Linked DNA regions of Mytilus edulis. The protein of the gene in region 1 purifies or fractionates together with the protein of each later gene. This does not show direct contact. Links are inferred from orthologs where the notes say so. Each region holds a gene or a part of one and is shown in the gene's direction. Other genes may lie near its edges.

Region 1 (7,912 bases):
GGCTTCCATGAAGATACAGTTGATTTTTTAAAATCATATTTGAGTGAAAGAACACTGCAAGTCCATATAAATAATCAGTTTTCTAATAAAAAGTTTATAAATTTTGGTGTTCCACAGGGCTCAATACTTGGTCCCATTTTGTTTGTTTTGTTCATAAATGACCTTCCATTACACATCAAAAACTGCCATACAGACTTGTATGCTGATGACACAACTATACATACATCAGGAAAGACTATTGGTGACATGCAATTAAAAGTACAAGATGATCTCCAATGTGTTGAAAAATGGTGTCATGAAAATAGCATGTTCATAAATTCAGATAAGACGAAATGTATGGTTATAGGTACAAGACAAAGGCTGCGTTTAAATCAAGCAGATCCAGTTCTAACTATTGAGAATAATATTCTTCAAAAATCATCAATTGAAAAACTTTTAGGTGTTAGAATTGACTCTAATCTGTCCTGGACAGGCCATATTAATTACTTATGTTCATCAATTTCATCAAGAATTTTTTTACTCTCTAAAATCAAGAAATTTCTAAATATTGATCTAAGAAAATTATTTTATAATGGTTATATTCTCCCACTGATAGATTATTGTTGTATTATTTAGAGTGGTTGTGCTAAAAATGAGCTAGTCAGAATAATAAAATTGCAAAAAAGGGCTGCAAGACTTATTTTAGATGCTGATCCACTTTCATCATCCGCTCCACTGTTTAAACAGCTTGGATGGATGACAGTAGAGAACAGAATCTCATACCACAAATCTGTTTTGATGCATAAATGCCTTAAGAATGAAGCCCCTGTATATCTCACTGAAAAGTTTAAAGAAATGCCAGAAATAAACCAATGTCGTTTGAGAAATGCCTCTTGCAAAAATTTACAAGTTCCAAAAGCCAAAACAGAGCTTTATAAGAAATCTTTTATATATTCATGATCTGTTTTATGGAATAACTTACCAATATCCCTGAAAAAATCAACCTCAAGTACAAGCTCATTCAAAAAAGATTTAAAAAATTACTTGATGGAACATTAAGAAGCTGTGCATTTTTTATATGCATAATAATTTTCACACACTTACTCAAACTTATGATATTGTTGATGCCAATACTATACATGTCATATATGAATTTGTAACTTTTACCTGTTTTGAAAATTGTATATTTCATAACAATTTTTTATTCATTGTTCATGTATGTGTGTCTGTTTGATATTTTGTAATTGTTTGTTATATTTCATTGTATTTTATGAGGGCCTCAGGGAAGATTAGCTTTACAGCTAACTGTGTAACCCTCTTTAAATAAAGAATTATTATTATTATTATATTATCATAAACGTAGTCTACTGTGCTTGATTTTATCATTGTTTACGCATTTATATCGTATAATCGTCATTTTTTGTTCGCTCTGTCTGTTATAATGAGAAAATATGGCAGCTCGTTAAAAGAGGGACGAAGATACCAAAGGGACAGTCAAACTCAGAAATCTAAAATAAACTGACAACGCCATGGCTAAAAATGAAAAAGACAAACAGACAAACAATAGTACACATGACACAACATACAAAACTAAAAAATAAAGATCACGAACCCCATCGTCGTGTTTTGAAGCCGTAGTTACCGGTATCACCAGCCCAGCAGTCAGCACTTCGGTGTTGACATGAATATCAATTATATGGTCATTTTTTATAAATTTCCTGTTTACAAAACTTAGAATTTTTCGAAAAACTAAGAATTTTCTCATCCCCAGGAGTAGGTTACCTTAGCCGTATTTGGCACAACTTTTTGGGAATTTGGGTCCTCAATGCTCTTCCAACTTTGTATTTGTTTGGCTTTTTAAACATGCCAAGAAATCCTCGCTAAAAATTTCGGTCGACCCCCTACGGCAGTCATTAGTAGCTAAAGATTTGATTTCATTCAAGAAATTAATGTATGACCTTCATGTACGTGTCGCTTAGAACACGGTCGTATACCAAATGGTCAAAATTAATCATCCATGTAATTTGCTCTATGGGGTGTTTGCAGTATTTCAACGGAGGCAATTTCTTGGCAAGGGAGAAAGGAAGAAAGACCATTCACAATTTGTCTTATATTTGTTTTTCTCTTTTTTAATTAAATAAAAAAAATAATAAACCTTTCAAATGTACAGTTCATAAGATAAAAAATATTCCCTGTGGAACACCTCCCCCCCTTTTTTTGTGCTCTCTATGTTTAACCCTCGAATTAAGCTTTCCAATTAAAAATTAAAACCTTGCTTTCTAACCAATCTATTCATGTACCGGACCGGCAACTTTCTTTATTTAATACGAAAATCTACAGTGCCGTTATACACATGCATGTTGTTTGCTTGGAGTCCCTTCCCGAAAAGAAAGAAATAGCCAAACTCCAAAATACTATATTCCTGCATCACGTGATTTTTACCACGTGGAGCTTACATTTAAATAAATACCGAATATGGAAAGTGAAACTACAATTCAAAACATAAAATCCGAAGGCACAAATAAGAAAAAAGAAAGGTTTTTTTTGGCAAAGGGTGCCGGGGTAATTCTCTCGGTGTTCAAAATATACATGAAATATTTGCCACTGCCCCTTTTCTGTTCTATGAATTTTGACCCTGAGTTTTCTATCTGTTACGGTTTTGATCTGAGCGTCACTGGTGAGTCTTATGTAGACGAAACGCGCGTCTGGTGTATTAAAATATAATCCTGGTACCTTTGATAACTATTTACACCACTGGGTCGATTCCACTGCTGGTGGACGTTTCGTCCCCTAGGGTATCACCAGCCCAGTAGTCAGCACTTTAGTGTTGACATGAATATCAATTATATGGTCATTTTTATAAATTTCCCGTTTACAAAATTGAATTTTTCAAAAAAACTAAGGATTTTCTTACCCCCAGGAGTAGATTACCTTAGCCGTATTTAACACAACTTTTTGGAATTTTTGATCCTCAATGCTCTTCTAACTTTGTATTTGTTTGGCTTTTTAACTGTTTTGATCTGAGCGTCACTGATGACTTTTATGTAGACGAAACGCGAGTCTGGCGTATTAAATTATAATCCTGGTACCTTCGATAACTATTTACCGATTGTCACCTTAAAGTTGATAATCAACCAAAAAAAAACATGGATATTGAACACGTGCATAACATGTACAATCAGATAATTGTTTATTTTAGTGACAGATCCATGCGTATTGCGGTCACCGGATTTTTACGAGGAGGTTTACGCTCAGGTCACTATGCATACGGAAAATATGTCGGCGAATTGCTTACTGGAAGCAAGCAATTCAAAATAAGTAAACTTCTTCTAAATGTGGACAAATTAAAGAATTTTCCTCAGAAAAAAGAATATGTACATAAGTTGTATAATGAAAACTTTTTATAATTCTATTAAGTATGTATGCAAAAGTCCATTTATAGAAAAAAAAATATATGCGAAATCCTATATTTAAATAATAAAAGATTAACACCAGCGAGCCCCCATTAAGAACAAGAAATATATCTTTTGAATGATTAAAATTTAATAAATTTTCATTTATCAAGACTTATGAACAATTTCTGAGACTTAAAATGAATATATGTAATGAAAAGAAAACATTGCAAGATCTTTATCTTATACATTCAAACAATGGTCAACAAATAAATTGCGAATTTTTGAATTTTTGTCCTATCAAATTTCTGACTTTTATTTCCTGTGACTTTCTTCCCGTTTACATGCGCGTAGCTACGTTTACGTCAAAACGACCGGGATTACACTTGAATTTTTAAAATAAAATTAATTGAAACGCGCGTCTGGCATATATACAAAATTTAGTCCTGGTATCTATGATGAGTTTATTTAAGGACAAAACGTATTTCTTTCTGCACTTTATAAGTTTTCGATCATTTTTCTGTTCTTTTTTGATAGACAGATAGGCGGACTCTTCTTTACGAATGTTACGCAATTAATTGTTTTACATGCTCAATTTATAAACCTTCATAGATTATCGTGAAATATTCCAGATCAAGAAAAAAATATCAAAAGAAAATTTTAGTTTATTTTTTAAATCCCTTTAACATGTTTAAATGAATGATAAATTGATTTACTTTTTGTGGGAAGAAATCCTAGGTATTCCAGATTTTTTTTATATTGCACCTCTTAGAAATATTTTTTGTTTTCTCTGAAACCAATAACCATTAGGTTTGCTTCCAGTTTAACACGATGAATAGGTTAACATATTACAAAATTTAACAAAAACAAACAAACCATTTAGATACAAAAGTATGTTGCTATCAATGATTTTTTACTGACAGGAAGCATATATTACGGTATCTTATTCTCGATAGCTGTCGGGGGCTTCGTCCCTTTCGAACCCACTACCAGCAGGTGCTTTAACATTGAGCGGTTGTCACCCCTCATATCCCTCGTCAAGTTTCGGGCGTACACGTAAAAATGACCCAGCTACCGTCTTAATTCTTGCTAAAACGTAGCTAATTCGGAAATTAAAAAAGAGAATTTTGTTTTTGATGTCAATAATGACAATTGTTTACTTGTTTTTGATATTTATTTTAAGAAAGTCTTCTTAGATCAACTGAAAAATGGATAAACACATGAATTCGTACTAACACGCTTCACCACATGTCCCCTATGACACCCCTGTTTAAAACTGATTTTCCTTCCTATGGTGTGTTGCTCATAATTTGATTAGAAACTAGTTGCGCATGCTCACAAAAAGAAATTGAGGTCTGCAACAGGATAATGAAAAGATAAATGTCGAACTGATAAGTTTCTGTTGTCGCATAAATTGATTATTGTTGCAATAAATTATAGAAATTTAAGTACTGAAGAACACAAGTTAAATATTTACCAATTGATATGTAAAATCTATATATTTCTCACAAAATCTAAAAGTTCTTAAAAAAATTGTATGGTCACATGGTTCCTTAAACACACGCGGTCTATACCACGTGACTCTTGCACAAAAACGAACAGACAATGGCGGATGCAAGTCGTAAGAAAACACTCTTTTTACCCTTAAATTATTGTTTTAGCTCAAGAAATGCTTTGTAAAGTCATCCCTGTGTCCCATATTTATGTTGTTAGACGATGATAGATATAATTGTATTGGGCGATACCAGTATTTAGCTCAAATCATGGTAAATTGCCGTAACAAGTCAACATTTCGCACAAAAATGCCGGCATCGCACCGGGCGTTAATGAAGCCAATTGAAACACAATGTTATGTTAAGACGCAGCACTTACAAATTAATTAACTTGCATTATGAAAAAGATGATGCATTGATGGACCTCAATCGAGATGTAAAACTAGAAAGCCGGTCTAAATGTATTATAAAATCAATTGAAAAGTTTTCTGAAATTAAAAAAAAATGTAAGGAAAAAAAACGAGCTGACATTAAGTCTTATAGTAGTCCGAGATTACTCTGACGTCCAACGGCTGTTTTGCTGGGGCCATGGGACGTCAGAGCTTGTCCCGTATCAAAAAGTGGATATTTGCCCACCCAAAATAAATGCGCAGCTTGTCACGTCTGGTGCCGACTGATGGCCTTGGAATTATATAAATCAGGCATCAATCTGTTCATTTTTCATTTATGTCTTCATTTATGTAAGTTTCACCTACCTGCCAACCTTTATTTTCTCATAATTATACAGTTTTCACAGTGACCCATTGATTTCCTCATTTTGCCTTTCATTTTCAAAGATTATCACATGACCACATGAAAACAGTGATGATTTATGCAAATGACCATAATGTAACACCTCGTTTATTTACGATGCAAGTTATCTAAATGTCCGAGAGCTTCCGACTGTAACATGGTCGGAACTAAATGCTTAATACCGATCTCCTGTAAAGGAGGTGAAGTATCATGGCTGGCTACTAAATGTTAAACATCTATTTCCTTTAAAGGAGGTTAAAAAATATAAATATTTGCATATTTTGAGTCTTGAGGCCACGAACTCTTAGTAACTTGATGTCCATTTAATATTAGTCTGGAATTATTCAACTAGAAAATCCTTGTTGGTGTGAGGTGTTTCAATATCTTTAATATCGCACTTCTGATGTTGAATTTCATTACCAGCATGGATGAAGGGGTTGAATAAAATAAAATAATAATGAATAAAGTCCAACTAGAACTAGTAATCGTGCTTATAAGTTATGGTTAAGTTAAGTTGAAGGTAATATTGTCCATATCTGACTATCAAAAGTCAGTCATTGGCTCAGTTTAAATTTAAAATTGTTTAAATTAATAACAAGCAAAAATGATGGGGCACTGTGATAAGTGTCCAAATTTGAAAATAAAGGGTGGCAGATAGACGATTCGAAACTTGCATAAATTAAGTGATAAATGAATATTCAATAATGAACAAATTGAGACCAGATTTATATGGATCCAATGCCCTCAGACAGCTCCAGAAGCTAGGAAGCAGTGCATGTATTTTGAACAGGGTAACATCAACTTTTTGAAATTGGACAAGCTCAGACATACCATGGCCCCAGCTTTGGATGTCAGAGAATAGGCTTGGTGACATCAAGAAATTTTGTAATGTTTAGTAACACATTTTTTTCACACCAAACCAAACAATGCTTTTTCAGTCATGAAATGAATAAACAAGTTCAGTTATATATAGAAATAAGGCATTCAGACCATTATATTCCTCTGAGAGTATACCATCATTTCGCAAAAAGAAATGTTACAATCACAGCATTAAAAAAGCTGAATTTGGGGTTCACAATCTTGCGTTGTTTTGATCGGTTGCCCACAGATTACACTGGGTCAGTGGGAGTATTACATGTAGATGGATCATATATGGACCATAATTTGCTATTGGGCTCCGTTTCCTATAACTATAGAAAAGTGATAAAATGTGAATTACTGTAAGAAAAGTTGTAACTACATCTAAAGATGCCATTATTTTTATCAACATACAAGTGTATGCTACTCTTCCCTAGAAAAAAAATTGAAATTAACAAATTTCAAAGATTATACGACCGTATTTGTGTGTCGTTTCTCGCGTTACTTTTCACGTCCGAAGTGCATAACGCTGACTAATTTATAGATAATCGTCACCGGCAAATTCGTAATTTTTGCATTAAAATAACAAAGAACATCGACCAATAAGAATAGTGAGAAGAAAATGCCGAGAACTATAAGTATTTCTGTAGCAGGTGTAAGAACACTGTCGTTATTTTGGTTTCCCATTTCGTAATGCACATTTTAGATGGTTTAATCTGCTTTGTTGTAAAAGAATTCTTTGCAACAATATGCAAATACGAACTCTCGCGAGATGTTCAAACAGGTAAATGATTTAAAAAATCAGAGATGATTTACATTCTTGTTTTGTTCTTCGTAATAATTAAGTTAGAAAATGACGTTATCGTTATGCGTTACATTTCACACGAAACAGAAGTCCATTTATTTATTAAAATTGTTTTTGTCGTTAAGTTCTAATCATTTCAGGTCATACGTGAAACATGTGACTAACATGTGATCACGCCCTTACAGCCGGATATACGAAATACTAGGTCTAAACATTGTATTTGTTTCCAACGGGATGTAAGCAAACATAATCTGTAGGCTTGTTTCGTCTTGTTTAAAAAAGGAAAATACAATTTTCAAAGAGATTGCGCTGGGGGTCTATTATTTTTCCTATGTGCATAATGTTACATACGATCTTGTGTGAAAATAAATGCCCAATGACTTGACAAAATCGATTTCAGATTTGACCAACGTTTTAACACACTTCGTTTCCCAATAACGATGTAAAGGGTCCTTGGAAAATTCAATCGAAATTACGTCTCTTATCATGGTGCCGATGTTCGTTGGATTGATTTAGCTTCAACAGTAAATATTACTGGATATTTTAGGTGAATAAAGATAATTTAATAAAAAATACATGTTAATGTACCGTTA
Region 2 (7,925 bases), on another chromosome or scaffold:
AGTGAATGAATCTAATAAATGTTTTGAAAACTTTAACTGCAGACTGTATGTAATGTTAACTGGAAGAAAACCTAAGTCCATTTAAAAGTAAAATACAGAATAAATGGAGTTATCTTTTTACAATATTTACTTCTTGATACTATCTTATAATCATAAATAAGCTTCTGTCCAAGTTTGGTACAAACCCAGGATAGTTTAAGAAAGTTATTAAATTTTTAAAAACTTTAACCACAGAGTGAATGTAATGTTTCCCCGCAGAAAAACTAAGTCCATTCAAAAGTAAAATACGGGAAAAAATGGATTTACTTAATTTAATAAATTTACTTCTCGATACTATCTTATGATCATAAACAAACTTCTGTCCATGTTTGGTACAATCTAAGGATAGTTTAAGAAAGTTATTAAAACTTTAAAAACTTTAACCACAGAGTGAATGTAATGTTTCCCCGCAGAACAAACTAAGTCCATGATTTATAAGTAAAATACGGAAAAAATGGAATTTTATTTTTACAAAATTTACTTCTGGATACTATCTTAATATGATCATAAACAAGCTTCTGTCCAAGGTTGTTAGAAATCCAGTATAGTTCAAGAAAATTATTAAAATTTCAAAAACTTTAACCACAGAGTGAATATTTGTGGACGCCGCCGACGACGACGACACCGACGACGACGGAATGTAGGATCGCTTAGTCTCGCTTTTTCGACTAAAGTCGAAGGCTCGACAAAAAATAATAATACGATGCAACACTATCCTTCCAGTAAAAGCATTTTTATTTTGACTTTCTTTGCATTTTACTCAAGAGTGTGTCACTTCAATATAGCGAAATCTGGTTGGTCGCTGGAATATGCATGAATTTATTATTAACGATTTCAATCAGCCTTAATTTTTGTGTCTGCTCAAAGTAGCATGTTCTCAAATCCGATTGAACGTGTCTTTCTAATACAACACAGGGTACATATATAACGTGTTGTCGTTTTCATATGCACATGACATTTGTCACTGGACGTTTAGGTGGTACCCAACACTACAGGGAGATAACTCTGTAAAGTCAGTGATACGTTTTAATTACGTTGTGTTGTAAAGGGAATAATAAGCTTCTCGAAGATCAAAATTGGTGTTTGTCAAACTGCTATATAACCAGTTAATTTTTCTGACAAAACGGTTGGTTCAAATTTTTTGAAATTTTTATATTTCTGTTAAAGGTTCAAATTAAATACTTGTCAAAATTTTATCCAAATTAAACGAACCACATTGATTTCAGTGAAAGTGTTCGGTACCACCTTAATCCTAATTCCTCAGCATCATCCAATTGTTTTTTTTCTTGTATTACTTAATCATCTGTTGTTTACAAATCATTCTAAAGAAGTAAATGGAAAGAATCGAATGCAGCTACATTTGGTTGTATTAGAATTTAATTCATTTTATTCCGTTTAGTTCCCTTTCTACATATGTGCAGAGGAGAACTGCAGGTGTCCACATGTAAGCGTCAAGCATTTGTCACCAATATGAGTACATCGCAATCCGTTACTGTTTCAACACCCAGGGGGTTTCATGTCTTTATTCTTAAACAAATTGTTTTCTTCTCTTTTTTAGCAATGCATCACTCTCTACTGTCCTTATCTTTTATTTTGTATTCTGTATCTCCATCCAGATTCTCGTGTATACCATGAGGGTACGGATTGGGGGGTGTTGTTTATTTCTGTATTCTTTAAATAGTTTTGTTACTTTTCTCTACATTTTATTTATCTTACCCATTATTCTTTCTCTATTCTTTATATTTAGGCATCCCAATATACTGATGTTTAGTTACATTACGACGTTAATCTCTGATTTATATACTGGTTACCAATGTAGATGACAAATTGGTGTCATTCATGACAATTAAACAGAATCCACATGATATATGCGACCATTTTCGGATAAAAACAATTTTACTTTAATTTAACACTTTTTGAAACCATTTTTATCAATTTTCAATATCCATTGCCTACATTGTTATTGTTCATGTGTTTTGTTCCGTATATTTTATATTCCATTGCTCATGTTTTGTTTCCGTATATATTTTATGTTCCATTGCTCAAGTGTTGTTTCCGTATATTTTAGCCGCTTGTCTTGAGCCTACCAAATGAACACACCATAAAGTAATAAAATTATACTTTTATTGTCATTCATAACTCTTAACAGACTAATTAACAGACCGGGTTTTATACATCCGACCCATTAACAGACCAGGTTTTTAATAAAGATTGATTTATGTCACCAAAATACAGATTTTCGTGTAGATTTTTCACAAAATGATATCAATTTGGTTGACACTCATAATGCCTGTCTTTTTTCGATGTTCAAAATAGTGCATGCAAGTAAATTCAACCCAAATGTCATTTTGTGTACATTTTGTGTGTGTAAAATGTGTATAAATTTACTGATGAGTAATTTGCCTTTTCATTTTATAGATCGTACATAGAAGCTAGAAAAATAATAATTACACCACAGGATTCAGTACATTGAATAGTTTTGTCAGACATAAATATTTTTTATGATAAACATATATTTAAAAGGTTATACAATGAAACATTCTGAGTTTTCAATGATTTTCTCGATAACACCTGATTAACAGACTTTAGCCAACCCGATTAACAGACTCACTGCCGATATAGCCGCATACTCAATATAGATTAACCGACCAATCTCTCGGTTAGCCGAGTGTCGGCCGTGATACTAGCGTCGATTTTTGTTTTCCTTTTTTGTTTTCCTTTTTTTTTTTTTTTTTTTTTTTTTTAAAGTTATCGTTAGTGTTATCCAGATCATCTGCTATGATGGAAACTTGGGAACTACGCTTATAGTGTCTAAATCAGTTGACAACTTTAAAATATTTTAGTTCCAAATTTTCTGTTAAAAAGTGTGGGATTGTGAAAAAATCACCTTCATCTATTTTTTTTTACTGTATCAAGATTTTGTTCATGGGCGACTGGACTGGTATACGGGCGTTTTTCAATAAAACTGAATTTCAGACACAAAAAAAAATGGAAAATCAACTTGTTTAAAATTTTATTTCGAGAGTTATTTTGAATACCTCTATTGTAGACCTGTTTGTATATAAAAAGTGCAATCTTAAATACTCTTTAAAATGATATTATTTTCTTAATTTATGTACTGTTCCGTAGGGGACTTTTGTCCACTACGAAACTGCTTCTAAACGCACATCTTACTGCACTTTAATGTCTTCTATAGACATTCCAGTTTGTTTTACTTTATATACTAGAAAGATCTAATTTTTGTCTGAATTGGAAAACCATTTTTTATCGATAAAGATTAGACAGTACTTCACATATGAAGGTACAACTCATGTTACGTAGTGGACATTTTGATGAGTTTCGTAGTTGACAAACCCGTTTCGTAGTTGACAAAAATTTCGTAGTTCACATCAACCCTATTCTATGTTGATAAAAACATACTGAAAATTACATGAAACTAACTCTTGTTATTTGTTTTGCGCGAAATAATTGAAAAAAAGAGTAAAAAAAAGACTGCATGGTAGTGGTAGTGTCCACTGCGAAATATAGATTCCACAACTATTTCTCCACTCGAGACAGTTAAATTTTAATATTTAAAGGGCGAGGCTTGTCGAGCTTTTGAAATAATTAAAATTTAACTGTTGAGAGTAGAGAAATATCGTAATACACGAGTAATTACAGTGGTGGAATCTGTTTCTCTTATGATTTTTATCCTCCCTTTTCAAAGATTTGAGAAAAGTTGTGTACTTTTGGTGTGACGTCATCAGGCACGGTCACCTTTTTTCATTTTTTTTATTTTGACATAAATTCAGTGTAAGAATTAAGTTTCTAGGGACAACATCAAAAGACCAATGTGCATGATAAAGCAAAAACGGAATTCACATAGTTAAGTCTGTGGCTGCTGTTTTTTTTAAAACTCATGATCAAGTTCACAACAAAACTACAGTCCTAGATTACAAAAAGAAATGCAACACTAACAGAATACAGAAGGGCAATCAATGAACAAAAGACAAATAAATACATGAAATAAGAAACATTGATCCCGACAAATCAGGGCTACGTCTGAGGAAAAACAGAACTTGCTTTTTGCAAGGGACTCGCCGTGAACACAATTTGATATGGAGACAAGTGTTTGGTTTTGAAATTTCCTACATGAGGCATTTGCCTCAATGTAGTTAGGCATTTGCCTCAATGTAGTTACGGCCCAGTTAAAATAAAAGTGAGGCAAGGTTTCCTGAGACAATTTACCTCAAGTTAAATGAAACCAATTTTCAGACATTTCACATGTTTCAAGTATATTTGAATAATATTTATACTTTTATTATTAAAAAATTGGGAAGAGTTTCCCGATTTTTTTTGGGGAAAAGATGAATTTATGAAGAATCTGGTGCCATCTCATACTTTCGATTAGACCTGCTGAGTTATTTATTTTTGATTGCAAGTCAGGTATTTTATTTTCAAACTACCACAGAACAAACCATTTATTTTTGTGATTATCAAGGCCAAGTTATTTATTTTCAAAATCCTCCTGCCCCCTCCCCCCCCCCCAGAATATCAAATGGTCGTCCCCTTAATTTAAATATTAAAATTTTAATAAGATTGCAAAAGTTCAAGCTGCCGGGGCAGCGGCGAGATTAGCGATAATGTGTATTGATTATGGACTTTCCCAATTGATCTTCCTCTAAGTTCAGTATTTTTGTGATTTTACTTTTTGAAAAACGACCATATGCATGCCTCTTTTAAATTTTTAATAATTAAATATTTTTTAATCCGCATTAATATTATTATTGTTGTTGTGTTGTTGTTGTTGAGCACTTATATCCAAAGGAGTTCCAGAGAACTGATATGGGTCGACGGTTTTGATCGAATAGTGGCGAAAGGAATTTGGGTCGAATAAAGGTAGATCTGCTGAAAGAGTTGACGTCCCCGTAAACAAGAGTAGGTGCTCTGCTAAATGAAACTGCTTTACATCTAATGAAGGCATTCTAAGGTCATATGACATTGTTTGAATATGTGGTATTTAGCCGCAGTGTTTTTGTAAATATATAAATGCCAAGGAGGATGACTGGTTACAAACAGTTGTACGCATTCGTTTGCAAGAGAAAGTCTGGTTTCCCCAGTAAATTATTTTAAAACTCAAGTTTAATCTTAATATTCATCATTGATCATCGTGAATATCTTAGTTTAATAAATTATTTTATATAAAGCTTGCTAACCAGACAAAGGTAACTGCCAATCATGCTAATAACTGAATACCACAGGCACTTGTTTCTATCCATAGGAAGGTCGACTATCCATATATATAAACAGATAAATAGATGGATAGTCGACCTTCCTATGGATAGAAACAAGTGCCTGTGCTGAATACACCTCATCACTATTTCAGGGGGGTTCTGATTCCAGATTACTCTTATTGTTTTGTCAGATTCCCGTATCCCGCTTTAATAGTCTTTATGTACCGTGTAATTCTTGTTTTTTTGTAATTTCCTGTGTCCCGCTAGACTTTATTTCCCGTTTTCACAGCACAATAATTTTACTCTCAAGTGTCACGCTTACAAAAAAATGGCAATCCTGTGTCACACTTAGACCACAATGACTGAATGAGACCCACTTTCAGTATTTGGAAATATATGTGCTGGTTTACCTGAGAATAGCTCGAACTATTGACGTCATACAACAATCAATTATCAATTATCCATTGTGGCATCAGATATTTTGTATTATGATGTCAAAATTTTATGTAAACTTTTGTGATGTCCTGTAATAATGCGGACTAATAGGGATAAAGTCACATGCACTTGCCTTAAGATAAGGTGTATAAGGTACATTTGTATCTTCATTTTACACTTTGGGGTATTTAGCTGAATTTGCCCTCAGAATGACCCTAGCTGGATCTTGTCAGTCTTTAGTAAATAACCATCTGAGGTCATGCAAAAATCACTTTAATTAGGCCGTTCATGGGACATATTATGGTATACCATTAAAAATGAATTGTCTATCAGTCTGTTCGTCCTCAACTGGTTAAAAAAGTTGTATCTTGTACTGCACAGAATATATTGGAAATTAAATCTAATAAGTTGGTCACCCTCGCTTCAGTCATAAGGAAATTAAGATTACCTACTTACGAAACATAAATCATGTAAATTATTTCTAGACTGTAGCTTCCATGCAGAATTACAATGTATGATTGTGAAATTGCTTGAAACTTTAATAGCGCAGGGATACAGGCTCGCCTTAATCTTCTATCTGGTACATTTGTAAATGACATCATAAAGGTATGCAATATTTATCATGGAGGACATGACTCCAGAAATGATGTATAACTAAAAATGTCTGTAATATGTAGATGGTCTATATATTAATTATGAGTTAAATTGTGATGACCAATTTGGCTGAAACTTACTTGTAACTTGATTTGAAGTAATCATTACTAATGACAGGTGTAAATGAATTACATTAAGACCTCAAAAGTGCTACTATAGTCTCTTTAATATATTCATTTGGTATATAAGTAAGTCTGTTCAATTCGTTGCAATAAGGTGAAATGAAGGCACTTACTTGAAAAACCAAATTACTGTCCATAATCATATAGGAAACAATTGATAACCATGGATAACTGTCATTTTGTTCAACTTGGATGACATTTTTTATCAAACCTTAAGGTGTTACATTTTAATTAAGACTAATCATGCTAATGTGTGTGTCAATTTCTAATCCTTAAAATTTCCTCCAAATATTTTTTTATACTTCAAAGTTGGAAGTACTTAAAATTATGTGTCAAAATACTTTTAATTGCAATGCTGACCAATGTTTTCTTTATCCAGTATAACATGTTCAAGTCAGTTTGTTAACAAATATTATCATGATTATGTTGATGAAATGATGACTTACTGGGGGCATGGAGGAACGATTGAGTAATGCATATAATTTTCTAAAGGTTACTAACTTGTGTACACCTGATGACTACAATAACATAAATAAACAGTGCCGTGTAGTGGTGAGGGATGGGTATTGGACGAAGAATCTGCTTTATGGATATATGTCTATTTGAGTCTTTAAAAATGCTGGTATGAACAAACAATACATTTGCAAGTATATATATACATGTATACATTACATTGTACATAATCTAGCAATTATGCAGAGAACAAATTTATTACGATTATAATAAACAGTGGTATTTTTCATAGATCTATTATTTTATGATTTTTTTGTAGATGGGTGACGTTAAACAGTTTTTATATGCTTGGTGTGGGAAAAGAAAGGTCACACCATGTTATGAGTTTGGCCAGACAGGATCAAAACATAAACCAAGGTTTAAATGTGAGGTATGTCAATATTTTGGAATTTATTAATGCATGTAAAACATTACAGCTCCTTTCCTAGCTCACCTGACCTATTACATGTTTTACAGGTAAGGAGTTGGCATAATTAGTCATTTTAGTAATCATAATCAGACTTCCACAGTAATCGATCACATTGCTTTAATGACTTATTTAGAGTTTACATCTAATTTCCATTATCAGATACTAAGCAATTTACAAATGAACATTGAAAAACAGTTTGTTTAAGTAGCATCTAGTGTGAAATTTCAAGGTTCTGTGGCAGCAAAGTATTTGACATGGATTTAAAAATGATTTGAAAAATGTTGGACGATTTTTGAATCCCTGTCAGATATTTTTGCAGATACTGATATCATGGAAATGGTTGTAGTAAAAAAGTGTTAAAAATTGACAAACATATGCCTATTGTAATTGTATATAATTTGTTTACCTGAATGACGTCTTATTTATTACCCACTATAGGGTACATGCCTATCACACAGTCATCTACATTTGACCTTTCATTGCAATGCTTTGTTTTAAAATCATATGTTTGGAATTTATGTGTCCTGTAATTTAATGTGT
Region 3 (6,879 bases), on another chromosome or scaffold:
TTTTGTCTGGCAAGAATCTCCCCAATAATGAAAACTCAAGGTTTTCTTGTGGTGTAGCTCCACACAAAGAAACAGCAAATTTATCAAAATCATCAAAGAATTTGACAAAATCTTTTGAAGTTGTAATACTTTTTACAGTGTTACTCTTCCTCTGTAATTTTTTTAAGGTTTTCTTAATCTTGCTATGCTTTGCCCCGATTTCCTGGCTATTTAATTCCCATGTCTGCTCCAGATCTTTTACAAGATTATCAGCATGCTTATCAACTTCACACTTAAAAGCATCCCTGTGACTAAGGATATCTTGCTTGATTTTTCTAAATTTAGCATCTTCCTGATCTTTTATGTCCTGAACTTTGTGTAATGTACTGGTCAAATTATGTATACTTTCATCAGCTTTCTTCTGTCCACTTTTAGTTATCGTCTTTTTATCATTAAGCTCTTCTTCATCAATAAAGGTGTGTCCATTGTGGACTTTGGTTACACATTTTAAACAGATGACTTTCTTACAAGTTTGACAGTATACACAGCAAGCCTGGTCTGGATGTTCTAGACATTTAACATCTCTAAAGTTAAATGTATCCACTTCTTCTTCCAGATCCAGCTCTTTAATGTCTCTAATCCTATGTTCAGTTGCATTTTTAAATCTAGCATGGACTTTATCCTTGCATCGGCTGCACATTAAAAGTTGACAGTCCAAACATTTAAATTTGATTTTATTCCCACCATCACAAAGTTCACAACCTACTGGAATTTGTCCTCTTTGTAAAGACTTAGAAGAAGCCATTTTTGAAGTCTGAAGTTAAAAAACCATATATATATATCAAAACTTTTAATCAAATTATTAACACTTGTAGATATAATATGAAAGATAAAATATGAGGTTAATTAGATATGACATGTGTAATGTACATTTAAAATAAAGATGGACAGTGTTATCTTGTTTATTTGCTGCATCATATAACTTTTTTTTTATCAGGATAGGGGAAGCTAGTACACAAAAACATAATATTTTTTTTTTTTAAATATTATCCTTTAAGGGCAATAACTCATAAAATTATGATTAGTATGTAATATTTGCTACTGTCGTATAAGCAACAATATTTTATCATTGTATAAAAAAAATGTATTATTCTAATTTGCTACAATTTCAGCAGCAATATCTGCTTAAAATTAACCAGAAAATTTGTTATAATTTTGACCGATATTTTTGGTCTTATTGATTTAGTTTTTAAATGACAACCCATAATTCTGTTTTGAGAAACAGTTGTTTTGTTTGTTATTGTTTAAAATCTTAGATAATTAAATTTCAATAGTAATTGCAAGTTACTTCCCTTAGCTGAAATGTTGAAGGTGCAACTGGTTGATTAATCCTTTTGAAAAAACAAAATTGAAAGCTAGTCGGAGAAAAGATTTTTAATTGATCATTAGTGATGCATTATGTGAATGATAAAAAAAAAATTGTTGAGAAAACATTTTTTTTTCTTCTGGTCTAGCATCCACATGCAGTGAAACAATACAACATAGCAACAAAAGAGAAATACCTCTTACCCAAATCAAAAGGTAAACGGACAGAAAGTCACAGGACATGAAAAAGTCAGAGGACATAAAGTCACAAATTTGATAGGACAAAAAGTCACAAATAATTTTTTGACAATTGTTTAAACATATTTTTATATATTTACTTTTTAAAACATATATATATTTTTAAGTTAGGGAAATTGCTCATTAACCTTGATAAATGAAAATGTAGTTAGTACAATTTTAATCATGAAAAGGATATATTTATTGGCAAAATAAATCCATTCAAGTACCAAGCCACTTTTAACATTTTGTTTTCATAAAAATCATGACAATTATTTGATCATTATTGATATTTAGTGAATAAATTTTAATTACAAAGTTGCTTCATAAAATAAAATAAATATATATTTTATTATAGTGTCACATATTGATTGACAATATTTACAAATCACAGTATACAATAAAACAATCAATACCCAGTCATAAATTTGACTTATGAGACACTTAACACATGTTATATACATTATTACATTTTGTAATAGAGTTTAACGGTAAAATTCATAAAATTATCATAAAAAAAAAGTTAAAACGTGTTTATGCATTTAAAAGCATATATATATATATAACTTCAAGAAAATACAAAAAAAATATTTTCAAAACCAATCTCAAAACTGAATTGTGACTTTTTGTCCTGTGACTTTTTGTCCTGTGACTATTTGTCCTGTGACTTTCTGTCCTACATTCAATCAAAACATCAATTTATAAACTATACACACTATTTGCCAATTTCCTTAATTGAATTGACCCTGCATTAAGAGATCCATTTTTTAGTTGTCTAACTTTGAAGGGTCATAAATTTTTCATTGGCAATGAAGAGCTAAGAAAAACAGCAAACTTATCTGTGAGAATTAAATGTGTGTAAGCTTTAAGTTTCTTAAATCTTTTAATTACAATAATTTTTTTGTTACTGTAAGCTGTAAACTGTTGGAATGTCACGGAACAGAAGTTCCTTCATAATATAATTTCCAAATGGAACAAATATTCTGGAATAAATATTACAGTAGATGTTCTTAACGGAATAAATAGTATAAAATTGAGAATGGAAATGGGGAATGTGTCAAAGAGACAACAACCCGACCAAATAAAAAACAACAGCAGAGGGTCACCAACAGGTCTTCAATGTAGCGAGAAATTCCCGCACCCGGAGGTGTCCTTCAGCTGGCCCCTAAACAAATATATACTAGTCCAGTGATAATGAACGCCATACTAATTTCCAAATTGTACACAAGAAACTAAAATTAAAACAATACAAGACTAACAAAGGCCAGAGGCTCCTGACTTGGGACAGGCGCAAAAATGCGGCGGGGTTAATTATGTTTGTGAGATCTCAACCCTCCCCCTATACCTCTAACCAATGTATAAAATATTTGTTCCATCAGGTACAGGTATTATGACATTGTTTATAACAAAGTTTCCACTGGAACTTCTATTAGGTGGAACAAATATACGTTGACAGGAACTCTGGTAACCGTTGCGCTTTTCATTTTTTTCTTCCAGAATTATTCAAATGCTGATATTTCATATTCAACTTATTTTGCCTTTTGAGGACAGACCCCAAATTTGTACGATATAGAACCAGTCATATTTGAAAAAGAGAAGCAATTTCTGTATAATAGAATCAAATAGATAGTTGGCCAATGGACTATCATTAAGATGTTTCATTCAAATATGAATCATATGATCATGCAGGTATTTTTCAAATGTTTTGATTAAGAAACTGCAAAGTAATCAAGGGGGCACAGTGATGGTAATGGCTCACATGATGCCTTGAGCTCAGAATAATTTATTTGCTATGCATTCAACCTGAGACTACTATGTGTTATAGTCTCAGATAATTTTTTTCAACTGTTCAAATTGATTGTGGCCACCTCATCTGCAATGATTCTAACAGGAAGATGAGGTGACCATCCTGAACTACGTTTTTTCCTGTAAAAAAAATATGTTCTTTTATACTGTATTTGTATCTGAGAAAGGATTGGGAAACGATGTGTAAACAATCCGGCTGCTTATCCAGCTATTTTCAAAAAGGCGGGGAAATATCGTTCGATTCTCTCTAGACTTTCTATTAGGCTGCAGAAGAATAAAGTGTTCATTTTTAGCATGTTACCAAAATAAAATGTATTTATCGAATTTTGTTCTTAAAATGATTAATTTTGGTTATATTAAATATCAGAACTATACAAAATATATGAAGAATAATAAAACTGTACAGAAATGCAGTCAATCATCATATATAGAGTTGTGTATCTAAAATATATTCGTGTCCGTTGTTAATTTTGGTTATTAGCTAAATTTATTATACCCAACGTTATTGGAAAAAAAAACTTTTAGACAATTACATTTTAGGCACCTTTTACAGAGATCTAAGAAGTGAAAGGCCAAGATGCCGAGAATTATGATAAAAGGAGGTGTTTGGCGTAACACGGAGGTAAATGTCCATACATTATTGGAAGTTTTTTACTCTTTTTAATATACATTAATGATTTTCCAGAATACCTGGAACACAGCAAACTACGACTCTTCGCTGATGACAGTATTATATACCGAGAAATAACATGTCAACAAGACTGCACAAATTTACAAAAAGATCTTAACGCAGCAGCGAAATGGGAGGCTGATTGGCTCATGGCCTTCCATCCTGGAAAATGCACTATCTTAACCATCACACAAAAAAAACAACCATTTAAACACGATTACATCCTTCATAACCATACTTTAGAACTAGTAACATCTGCAAAATATCTTGGCGTAACCCTACAGTCTAACTTAAAATGGAACATTCACTACAACAACATCGTATCAAATGCAAATAAATCTCTTGGCTTTCTTAGGCGAAACTTAAAAATTTCTAACTCCAGTATCAAATCCCGTGCTTACCAATCAATAGTGAGACCAAAACTCGAATATGCCTGTAGTCTATGGGATCCACACACAGCAGATTATAAAAATAAGCTAGAAATGGTACAGAGGCGTGCGGCCCGATATGTATGTAACAATTACCACAACACCAGTAGCGTTACATCCATGTTAAACGAACTACAATGGCCCTCACTCAGTGAGCGCCGCCTCAAAACCAGACTTATCATGTTCTACAAGGTCATCCATGGACTCATTGCAATCCCATCACTAGTCCTCATACCATCAGATACTAGAACAAGAAAATGACATACTCAAACATTTCGGCAAATATCCACCTCTAAAGACAGCTACAAATGGTCATTCTTTCCGCAAACAATCATTCAATGGAACATGTTGCCACAAGTTGTGGTAGCAAGTCAAACCATTGAAATTTACAGAGATCAGTTGACACCAACTGTTCTCCACAACATAATTTAATTCTATAAATAACAATGTACATATTTTTTAATCACTTGTTGTTTTCTTTCATGTAAATATCACCAAGTATTCTACTAAGTTAAAGATAAATTTTTGTTCATATTTTTTAATCATATACTCCGCGCATGCAACAGTTCGTAATCTTCAATAATAATGAAGCTGTAACTGTATATCAGAAGAAGAAGAAGAAGAAGAAGTTTATCAGTTCACACACGCTTACATTTTTGTTTTACAACAGTGCATGTTTTTGTTTTGGCGTTTACATCAAACATTCTTAATATTGATACTGTTGTATAAGGGTGGTAATGGACATGACGAATAACAGTTAAAATTGTTGCCAAATGACGTTAACAGTAATTTTTGGTGCATGACGATTAAATGTGCACTTTCTTTTTTAGACCATGTAGACAATAAAAAAATAAAGATTTAGTTGATCACGTTTATTTATTTCCAAAAATAACGGTAACGTTAATTATTTGAGCCCTCTGACGAATCACAATAAGGATATTTTTACAAATCACAGTAAAATTTTAATCAATTTGACGCTAACAGTAGCCGAAAATTGACAGTTGACGCCTGACTGTAAAGGGCATTACTACCCAGTTGTATGTCTAGTGATATTTCTGTAGCAGGCTACCTTTTGATATACTGTAATGACTATGTTGGAATCTGCAACACTGAACCTCAGAATTTGTGAAAAATTCACCTTTATGTGGCTTCTGATTCAAAAGATATCTCTTGCAATGTCAAGGACAGGCAGGTACATGTAAATATCGACAAATGTATTAAAAAAAATCCAACCATTCTTACATGTATGTAAAAAATGGTGGATTAATATAAGAGTAAGAGTAAGTTATAGTTATGCTGTTTCTACAGCATGGTCAACAGTAAATTGATTAGTAAAATTGAATAAAGAAATGGTGAATATGTCAAAGAGACAACTACACGACCAAATAACAGCAGAAGGCCACCAATGGGTCTTCAATGCAGGGAGAAAATCCTGCACTTGAGGTGGGCATAAGCTAACCCCTAAATAAAAATGTGTTCTAGTTCAGTGAAAACTTCAAAACATATAAATGAACAAAAAATAAAAAACATTCAAGACAAACAAATTAAAGGCCAGAGGTTCCTGACTTGGGACTGAAGCAAAAGTGAAGAACACACAGCAATACCAACATTAAAATTCAGTTTATAAAATGCCTTTTAGTACTTAAAAGTAGGCCAGTTTAATGGGAAAAACTTATGTTAAACCAATGATATAAAGTATGCAATTGTATAATCATTCATTGACACTTTTCATTTCTATAGAAATCAATTGACCCTGCTCCTCAGTCATGGCCTATTAAGAATGTTGTAATACAGAATGCTGTATACAAGTATGATAGCAAACATATTTATATTTTATTTCAGGATGAGATTCTGAAAGCAGCTGTCATGAAATATGGCAAAAACCAGTGGGCTAGAATTGCATCATTGCTACACAGAAAATCAGCAAAACAATGTAAAGCTAGATGGTAAGTTGAGATACATGTACACAATAAATTGTTACAGCGTAGAACTCCAGCTGAAATTACTTAAACTAGGAGCTAAATCTTCTTCAACAAAAATTATAATAATGAAGTAATTATCCCTAAGGTCTTGTGCTTCTTTTTTTTAATCAACTACTGATAAATTAAAGGTAAAGTTTAATGTGTGTAATTTGAAAGAAAATCAGTTGAGGTGTACTGATATTTTGCTGTAGTCCTACATACAAATATGAAGATCAGTGGAGTAGTTTAAGGCCAAAAATATATTGTGTTTTCAACTTTTCAAACACAAACATGCTTTTTCTTCAAGTACCAATTTTAACATGAGAGGGGTTGGTCATGAACGTTCTTTTATCAAACTATTTACTTGAATGTAATCACTGAGTTGAATGTAAATATAGAATTTCAATATAAAGTTTGTTTTTCCTAAACAAGG
Region 4 (7,651 bases), on another chromosome or scaffold:
TCTTATTACATGTATTTACACGACATTTCACGTTGAATTGATTAAACTAGAGGCTCTTAAGAGCCTGTGTTGCTCACCTTGGTCTATGTGCATATTAAACAAAGGACACAGATGGATTCATGACAAAATTGTGTTTTAGTGATGGTGATGTGTTTGTAGATCTTACTTTACTGAACATTCTTGCTTCTTACAATTATCTCAATTTATAATGAACTTCGCCCATTAAATACAGAGGAAAATATTTTAAAATTTACAAAATAAAAATTGACAATAAAGGGCAATTACTCCTTAAGGGGTCAACTGACCTTTTTGGTCATGTTGACTTGTTTGTGGATCTTACTTTGCTGAACATTATTGCTGTTTACAGTTTATCTCTATCTATAATAATATTCAAGATAATAACCAAAAACAGTAAAATTTCCTTAAAAAATACCAATTCAGGAGCAGCAACCCAACAACATGGTGTCGGATTCATCTGAAAATTTCAGGGCAGATCGATCTTGACTTGCAAAACAATTTAACCCTGTCTGAATTGCTCTTAATTCTTTGGTTTCAGAGTTATAAGCCAAAATCTACATTTTACCCCTATGTTCTATTTTTAGCCATGGTGGCCATCTTGGTTGGTTGGCAGAATCACTGCACACATTTTTTAAACAAGATACCTCAATGATAATTATGGCCAAGTATGGTTAAATTTGGACTAGTGGTTTTAGAGGAGAAGACTTTTGTAAAAGATTAGAAAAAAATACGAAAAATTGGTAAAAAATGACTTTTTTGTAGATCTTACTTTGCTGAACATTATTGCTGTTTGCAGTGTATTTCTATCTATAATAATATTCAAGATAATAACCAAAAAACGGTATAATTTTCCTTAAAATTGCCAATTCAGGGGCAGCAACCCAACAACCCTGATAAACAATTTTACCCCATGTCAGATTTGCTCTAAATGCAAATGGTTTCAGAGTTATAAGCCAAAACCTACATTTTACCCCTATGTTCTATTTTTAAACATGGCGGCCATCTTGGTTGGTTGGCCGAGTCACGCCACACATTTTTTAAACTAGATACCCCAATAATGATTGTTACCAAGTTTGGTTTAATTTGGCCCAGTAGTTTCAGAGGAGAAAATTTTTGTAAAAGCTAACGACGGACGCCGGACGCAAAGTGATAAGAAAAGCTCACTTGGCCCTTCGGGCCAGGTGAGCTAAAAATTACTTCAATCATTCCGCATCCTGATCAGCTTTCTCTTCAACTTTATGATTATGCCGCATGCCATGCAATAAGAATAAATGTGTATCTGTTTAAGTTTTTCTGAAAATTTCTGAGAATTTCTGAAAGAATATTAATACTGGACTGTCTGTCCGTCTGTTATCACACTTGTTAACACGGTCGATACTTCTTTAAACGATCTAAACCTTACCCGATGTACATGTTAAATTTTGGGAGGGGTAGGCATATTGATTTTAAAGGTCGAATGAAAAGATCAAGATATCTTAAAGTTGGTGTATTTCCTTCTTGAATAAGGGGAGATGTATCAACATTTAAGCAGTACATACGTGCGTATGGAATTTATAATTCAACATACTAGTTACTATAGAACGTTATCGGACCACAGATGAATTATCACGTTGTGATTGGTTAAACACCGTCACGTGGTGACCCCCTATTATAAGTTATATGGTTCCCTACTGACCCCCGTTGCGGCGTTTAACCAATCACAACGTGATAATTCATCTGTGGTCCGATAAGAGACCGTATGGGGTAAGTAAGTTTCATATGGGGTTCATGACGCGTTAATGGCGACGTCATCCATTAATGTTGTTGTTTATTTTTCAACAAAATGCCGCAGAAAAAGTCCAGCGTCCGATAAATTCGTTATACGGTTAACTACTGACTCCCTACGGATCCATAGAGGGTGAATAAAATGCATAGGGGACTCGGCCTCCGGCCTCACCTCCCTATGGATTTTACTAACCCTCTATGGATCCGTATGGGGTCAGTAGCGAACCATATAACTTATATTATCTATTTTATCGTAGACAAATCTTTGCCGGTTTTATAATCTTTTAATTTTTTTTACAAATGATTCTTTTTAAATTTCGTCTATGACCATGCATAAGGGAGGGTTTTTTTAATCTAGTAATCCTGTCGCCTGTTTTGTTCGCCTGAACCAAGTCCTGAAAATGTTGATACTGTGTATAGATATAATAATAAATAAATAAATAAGCTTTATTTAGAGTCAGCAAGGTATACAAACATAGACAAACATAAGCTCTAATGAGCTTTTAACCGACATACGAGACATGTTTAACAATACAACATTTATAACAATACAACCGCAAAATGCATAGCATAAAAATTTGAAAAATGGGGTATGATCTAGACGGTAAATAAATTTGCATAATATATAAACTAAAAGTCTGCGCAAACTATGCACTTACAGCCATTTCCATTCCATGATTTTAAAATATTTTTGAACTGACTAAAATTAGCATTTTTTCTAAAATCATCAGGTAGATCATTCCATTAAACAGCCTGTGTATTTAAAATAGTTCTTACCATAGGTTGATGTTCGGACCCTAGGTATATCTACAATATTGGAATATCTAAAAATAAAAATTATATTTACAATCTTTCAATACAACTGAATCATGTAAGCATGGTGGTGACAATTAATATAAAATTTTAAAACACTCAATAGCCATGTTATGCATGTACGTCTAATTTTCAGTGATGGAACCTTTGCTCGTAAAAGAAGTTCAGCATATAAACTAACATAGTCTTCATATATAAATTGTAAAGCCCTTTCCTGATTTTTTTCCAATTTGGTGGTGTTCTCTTTGTTGCAAAAATGCTATGCCATATGTTTTATTTCCAACTGCAATGGCTTGGAATTTGTCGGGATTTGCCTGCAAACAATTAAAACAAAACCAGTCAGTTAAAACAGCACTTTCTCTTTCAAGTGTACATAATAAATTTTCAAAATTGTTGTCTGCATATGACAGAGTATTATCATCGGCATAATTATATAATATAGGGTACCATGTTCAATAAAATAGAATATGTCATTTATAAAAAATATTAAATAATAGGGGCCCCAGGATTGAGCCTTGGGGTACCCCTTTCTGGATGTCAGCCCAACTGCTGAGTACTCCTTGAAGTTTGATTTGTTGCCTACGATCTGTAAGATAATTTTGAAGTAATTTCACTGATTTAGAAGAAAGACTGTAGGCAGATAATTTACTTAAAAGGATATAATGTGGTAAACAGTCAAAAGCTTTCGAAAGATCCATAAGAATAGCTGCCACATACATATTAATTATCCGGCCTCACACGGTGGAAATTATGCTTCGCCTTCATATTTGATTCCTTTTTAGTCGATCAGAGATTGTTGTTGTTTTTTTTGGGTTTTTTTTCTCCACCGTACAGAAAATGAGTTGATCGTTGTTTTTTTTCTTTCTAAATTTAAAAATGCCATTTTACTCTGTTGGAAGGTATCATTGTCACTCAAATAAATTGCAAGCATTAAATCTCTTAGTGATGATTAGTGAAGTATCGTATTATTTTTATTTTTTATTTTTGAAACGACCCCTCACATCTTACCTGTCGTAGTCGTGCTCAACTGTAGGTGTAGACAATTGTTAAAAAGGTCTATGAGTTGAGGGGCAAACAGATGATTTAGAGTCATAGAAATACAAGAAACTTTAAATATGAAATCATTATACCAATTAATATTTAGATATCCAACTAAAAATAAATTAAAAATATTTTTAATGAATGCATTATATTGTCCCACGAAAAACCTTTTTATTTAACTTTGAGTTCGGTCTTTTATTTACTATAATTTTAAACATAAGATATCGGTACATATATCATAAGTCAAATACCACTGCTTACCCTCTTGTAGGAGCAGAACCGAGGGGAAAACATACTTACCTTCTTTATAAACATTGCCAGAAAAGAGTGGGAATTATACACAGACAAATAGTTCTGGCTGACCATAGAGAAAATAACCTTAGCAATAGAGTGGGGAACACTATTTCTAAAACATCTGTAGTCATTACATAGAAAATTCTACGGGAAAGATTGATAGAAATTAAAAACAATGAATCATTCTGGAAAAACAAATGCCACAAACAAATTAAAAACACATCGTATGAAGATTTTCAAAACGGTCCACATAAACAAATCCGTAACATTTTATAAAGTGTAAAACACATCACACACACGAGAAGTCAAGACAGGAAAATTGAGTGCCTCTTTCTTGAATATCATGCACAAGAAACATTCTCACCTTTTGAGTATTATATTTGTGTCTCCCCATACATGCCATAGGAGAATATTTTTCTTTATAAATACAGGAAACCGTGAACTGAACTGGTATGCCATTCTTATCTGTATGATATTAAAAATAACCTTTAATGTCCTTACTTGTTCATAATATGAGTTTCCTTTATTATTTTTGGTTCTATTTTAAATCAAGCTTATTTTTTTAGCCCCAAAGGATCTTAATCCGTCCTACTAACTTAAATAAAAATACGTCCAGAAATCGACAATTTTGATGAACATTCAAAATATAGATTAGGACGTTGTCTTGATTTGCGATATTAAATCGCATTTGGGTTGTTGGTTTACAATGTCAACTGAACATTTCCGCTTCCGGAAACGCTAGGAAAATGCCGGCTTGATCACCATTCAAAGTTACAGTGAGCTTAATCCATTGAAATCAAATGCTTTTCTTATGCTGACATGTCATGATAAAGAAATAAGGTGCAAATAAGATAACATTCAATGATAACAAACCCGAATGAAAGCCCACAAATCTCTACAATACATTGCATTTCCTGTGTTTATACCACCCTTGTTCAGTGACATTTAGAACATACAAGAAAATAACTTGATATCATGTTCCTCATGATATCGGAGTATATCCTAATTCATTAATGTTTATTGTGCGGTATATGTCAACCATGTAAAGCTATTTTTGTCTATTATCGGGCTGCAAAAGCACCGAACACAACAAAAATATACCACAGAAAACCTTAAATTATATACAGTTTATGCATGTTTACTTTTATCAACAGCGCATTAAACGACGCATATGTAGAAAAGATAACGGTAACATGGGCTTTGATGAACAGCTCATACCTAGTTTAAATAAATTTTTATGTCCTTCCCCTGAAACTGAAAGTGAAAAGTTTGTCAGTAAAATTATGCATGCCAATCGCCATTTACCAGATAGAGGGAATTGCCTGTAAAGTTAGTCAAACAACTTCACGATCTGTATTATGCAGAATAACTAGAAATATTGTTAGTTCCACAGGTACTTAATCGTTCATAATGAAAGCAATGCTGATTATCAATTATGAAATTTAATTTGCCGATTGATTTGTGCAATACAGATTTGTATGTTTTCAACCACTTGCTCCACATGGGAAGGAAGTGACCCTGCCCCTAAATGCACAAACAATGTAGACAGTGAAAAAAGTACACAATTTAAAGCAAGAGCAACACTAACACCTTTAAACATGTTAAAACAAAACTAGGGGCGATCCAGAAGGGTAAGCAGATACTGCTCCACATGTAACGTACTATACGTAGGAAACTCTTCTCAAATGAGTAAGACCTTTGCAAAATAAAGGTTTTCACTTTTAGAGGAAGCAATCTACAATGCAGCAACACAGTTAAGTTTTTTAAAAATATTATCAACTAAAACTAATATTTTTCTCAGTTAGATATTTTCACAATCAGATTTTTACATAGGTCACATCGTGTTGAAAAAATCTTAGACATCTCACAACTGCTTTATCTGTATTTCAGGCTTGAAGAATGTATCTGTATAACTTAACTTTACAAAGAGCTACTGGTATTGCTCATGCAATCCATGGCAACTTTTCTGGAAGCAAGTTACAAGAAATAGTTGTATCCAGAGGCAAAATTTTGGAACTTCTAAAACATGACCCAAATACTGGAAAATGTTACCCTTTGTTGTCAACAGAAATATTTGGAACTATTAGAGCTCTTATTCCCTTCAGATTGACTGGTGGTTCTAAAGGTAAGTTAAATAACTGCTGAGGCCACAATTAAAAATATTTTGGTTTGCCCAAACACTATCCAAAGGTTGAGACAGTGGGTAGGTAGGTAGGCATTTTCTTTCTTTTTTTTCAAAAAAAGAAATTGAAGTATCGGGTGTTTATTAGTCTTCATGCCTATCTGATTAAAAAAAAAAAACTGCTTCAAATCAGGACAAGAAAAGAATTTGAGTAGGCAGCTTTTTTCTGGGTAGGTATATACGTAGGGTTTGGGCAAACAAACCTATTCTTTTTTATGGCCTGATGTATGGCTTTTTATAGATCTTCTTTTAGTTGTCCCTCCACCAATAAAAACTGGCTGCACCAAAATAGCCTAAATATATGGCTATGCAGTGCTCAAAGGTGGCATTTAAGCACCAGAAATCAAAATCCTTTAGTTGTCTTTTATACATTTATGTAGGACTCTTATAAAGTGCGATGGTTGATGTTTTTTTTTTAGTGCGATCAAATGACACGCTAAAGTGTGATGATATATAACATGCCGACAGATGCATTTTAAAATTATTTAATTCAATAAATTTATATCGGACACTTGAAACCGAAAATAACTAGACCAGTCTCAAAATTACCGGACATTTGCCAATGTCTGACTGACCTTTGAAATCACTGAGAGTGTAATTCAGTTTTTCTCACATACACAAAAAAAAATTCTATGAAAAAAATGTTTCCAAGGACAAACACTCAACAAAAACTTGTGGCCACCTATATGGTAGAGGTATTACAGAGAAGTCTGTCAGTATAGTTAATGATAGGTAGGGAATTGACTGATACTTAGTTAGGTAAATCAAGCTATTAACAACAAGCTACCATATATTTAATTTTGAAGTACTTAACATTTGCAAATTTACCTAAAAATTATTGTATACATGCCAATTTTTGAGTAAAATGATATTTTCAGATTACATTGTGGTTGGGTCCGACTCTGGAAGAATTACTATCTTGGAATATATACCTCAGAAGAATGTGTTTGAAAGGGTAGGTTTACAGCTGATAAAAAAATGTTTACCACATATTTGAATTTTCGTGTTTTAGAAAGAAAGGAACATCTGTATAATAAAACAAATTTGTGAGGGTTCCACAAACCAGTGTCTCGCCTACTGTTGCTGTAAATTACAGGCTCAACAAAAAGGAAAGAAAAAAATCAATAGAAATATTCCGCTTGATACTATCTTTTGATTGTAAGAAGCTTCTGTCCAAGTTTGGTAAAAATCCAGGATAGTTTATGAATTTTAAAAACTTTAACTGCAGACTGGATGTAATGTTAACTGGAAGAAAAACTAAGTCCATTTACAAGTAAAATACAGATACACAGGTACAAAATATTAACAAAATTTCCTTCTAGATACAAGCTTATGTCCACGTTTGGTACAAATTAAAAATAGTATAAGAAAGTTATCAAGATTTTTAAAAATTTTAACCACAGAGTGAATGTGTTGTTTCCTGGCAGAAAATCTAAGTCCATTTACAGTAAATTAAGGAAAAAATTAATTTATCGTTTTAAAAAATTTACTTCTGGATACTATCTTATGATCATAAACAAGCTTCTGTCCAAGTTTGGT

Evidence for each region.
Region 2: the proteins of RNA-binding protein cabeza-like (region 1) and ATP-dependent RNA helicase A-like purify together in Homo sapiens (affinity purification with mass spectrometry; 4 studies listed by BioGRID and IntAct, with this or other methods). This does not show direct contact. The link is inferred for Mytilus edulis from reciprocal best matches to the Homo sapiens genes FUS and DHX9.
Region 3: the proteins of RNA-binding protein cabeza-like (region 1) and cell division cycle 5-like protein purify together in Homo sapiens (affinity purification with mass spectrometry; 4 studies listed by BioGRID and IntAct, with this or other methods). This does not show direct contact. The link is inferred for Mytilus edulis from reciprocal best matches to the Homo sapiens genes FUS and CDC5L.
Region 4: the proteins of RNA-binding protein cabeza-like (region 1) and splicing factor 3B subunit 3-like purify together in Homo sapiens (affinity purification with mass spectrometry; 3 studies listed by BioGRID and IntAct, with this or other methods). This does not show direct contact. The link is inferred for Mytilus edulis from reciprocal best matches to the Homo sapiens genes FUS and SF3B3.

The regions. Positions count from the first base shown.
Region 1 is NC_092349.1:8,782,235-8,790,146, forward strand, and holds the start of RNA-binding protein cabeza-like, read left to right. Parts: upstream 1-4,899; 5' UTR 4,900-4,976; coding exon 4,977-4,992; intron 4,993-7,912. UniProt on the Homo sapiens protein: DNA/RNA-binding protein that plays a role in various cellular processes such as transcription regulation, RNA splicing, RNA transport, DNA repair and damage response. Binds to ssRNA containing the consensus sequence 5'-AGGUAA-3'.
Region 2 is NC_092345.1:50,208,118-50,216,042, reverse strand, and holds the start of ATP-dependent RNA helicase A-like, read left to right. Parts: upstream 1-4,904; 5' UTR 4,905-4,956; exon of another isoform or gene 4,957-5,008; intron 5,009-7,235; coding exon 7,236-7,346; intron 7,347-7,925. UniProt on the Homo sapiens protein: Multifunctional ATP-dependent nucleic acid helicase that unwinds DNA and RNA in a 3' to 5' direction and that plays important roles in many processes, such as DNA replication, transcriptional activation, post-transcriptional RNA regulation, mRNA translation and RNA-mediated gene silencing.
Region 3 is NC_092353.1:26,598,151-26,605,029, forward strand, and holds the start of cell division cycle 5-like protein, read left to right. Parts: upstream 1-3,854; 5' UTR 3,855-3,964; coding exon 3,965-4,009; intron 4,010-6,327; coding exon 6,328-6,431; intron 6,432-6,879. Other genes in the region: uncharacterized protein, read right to left, coding at 1-784.
Region 4 is NC_092348.1:7,220,003-7,227,653, reverse strand, and holds the start of splicing factor 3B subunit 3-like, read left to right. Parts: upstream 1-4,629; 5' UTR 4,630-4,770; intron 4,771-5,820; 5' UTR 5,821-5,829; coding exon 5,830-6,055; intron 6,056-6,990; coding exon 6,991-7,067; intron 7,068-7,651. UniProt on the Homo sapiens protein: Component of the 17S U2 SnRNP complex of the spliceosome, a large ribonucleoprotein complex that removes introns from transcribed pre-mRNAs.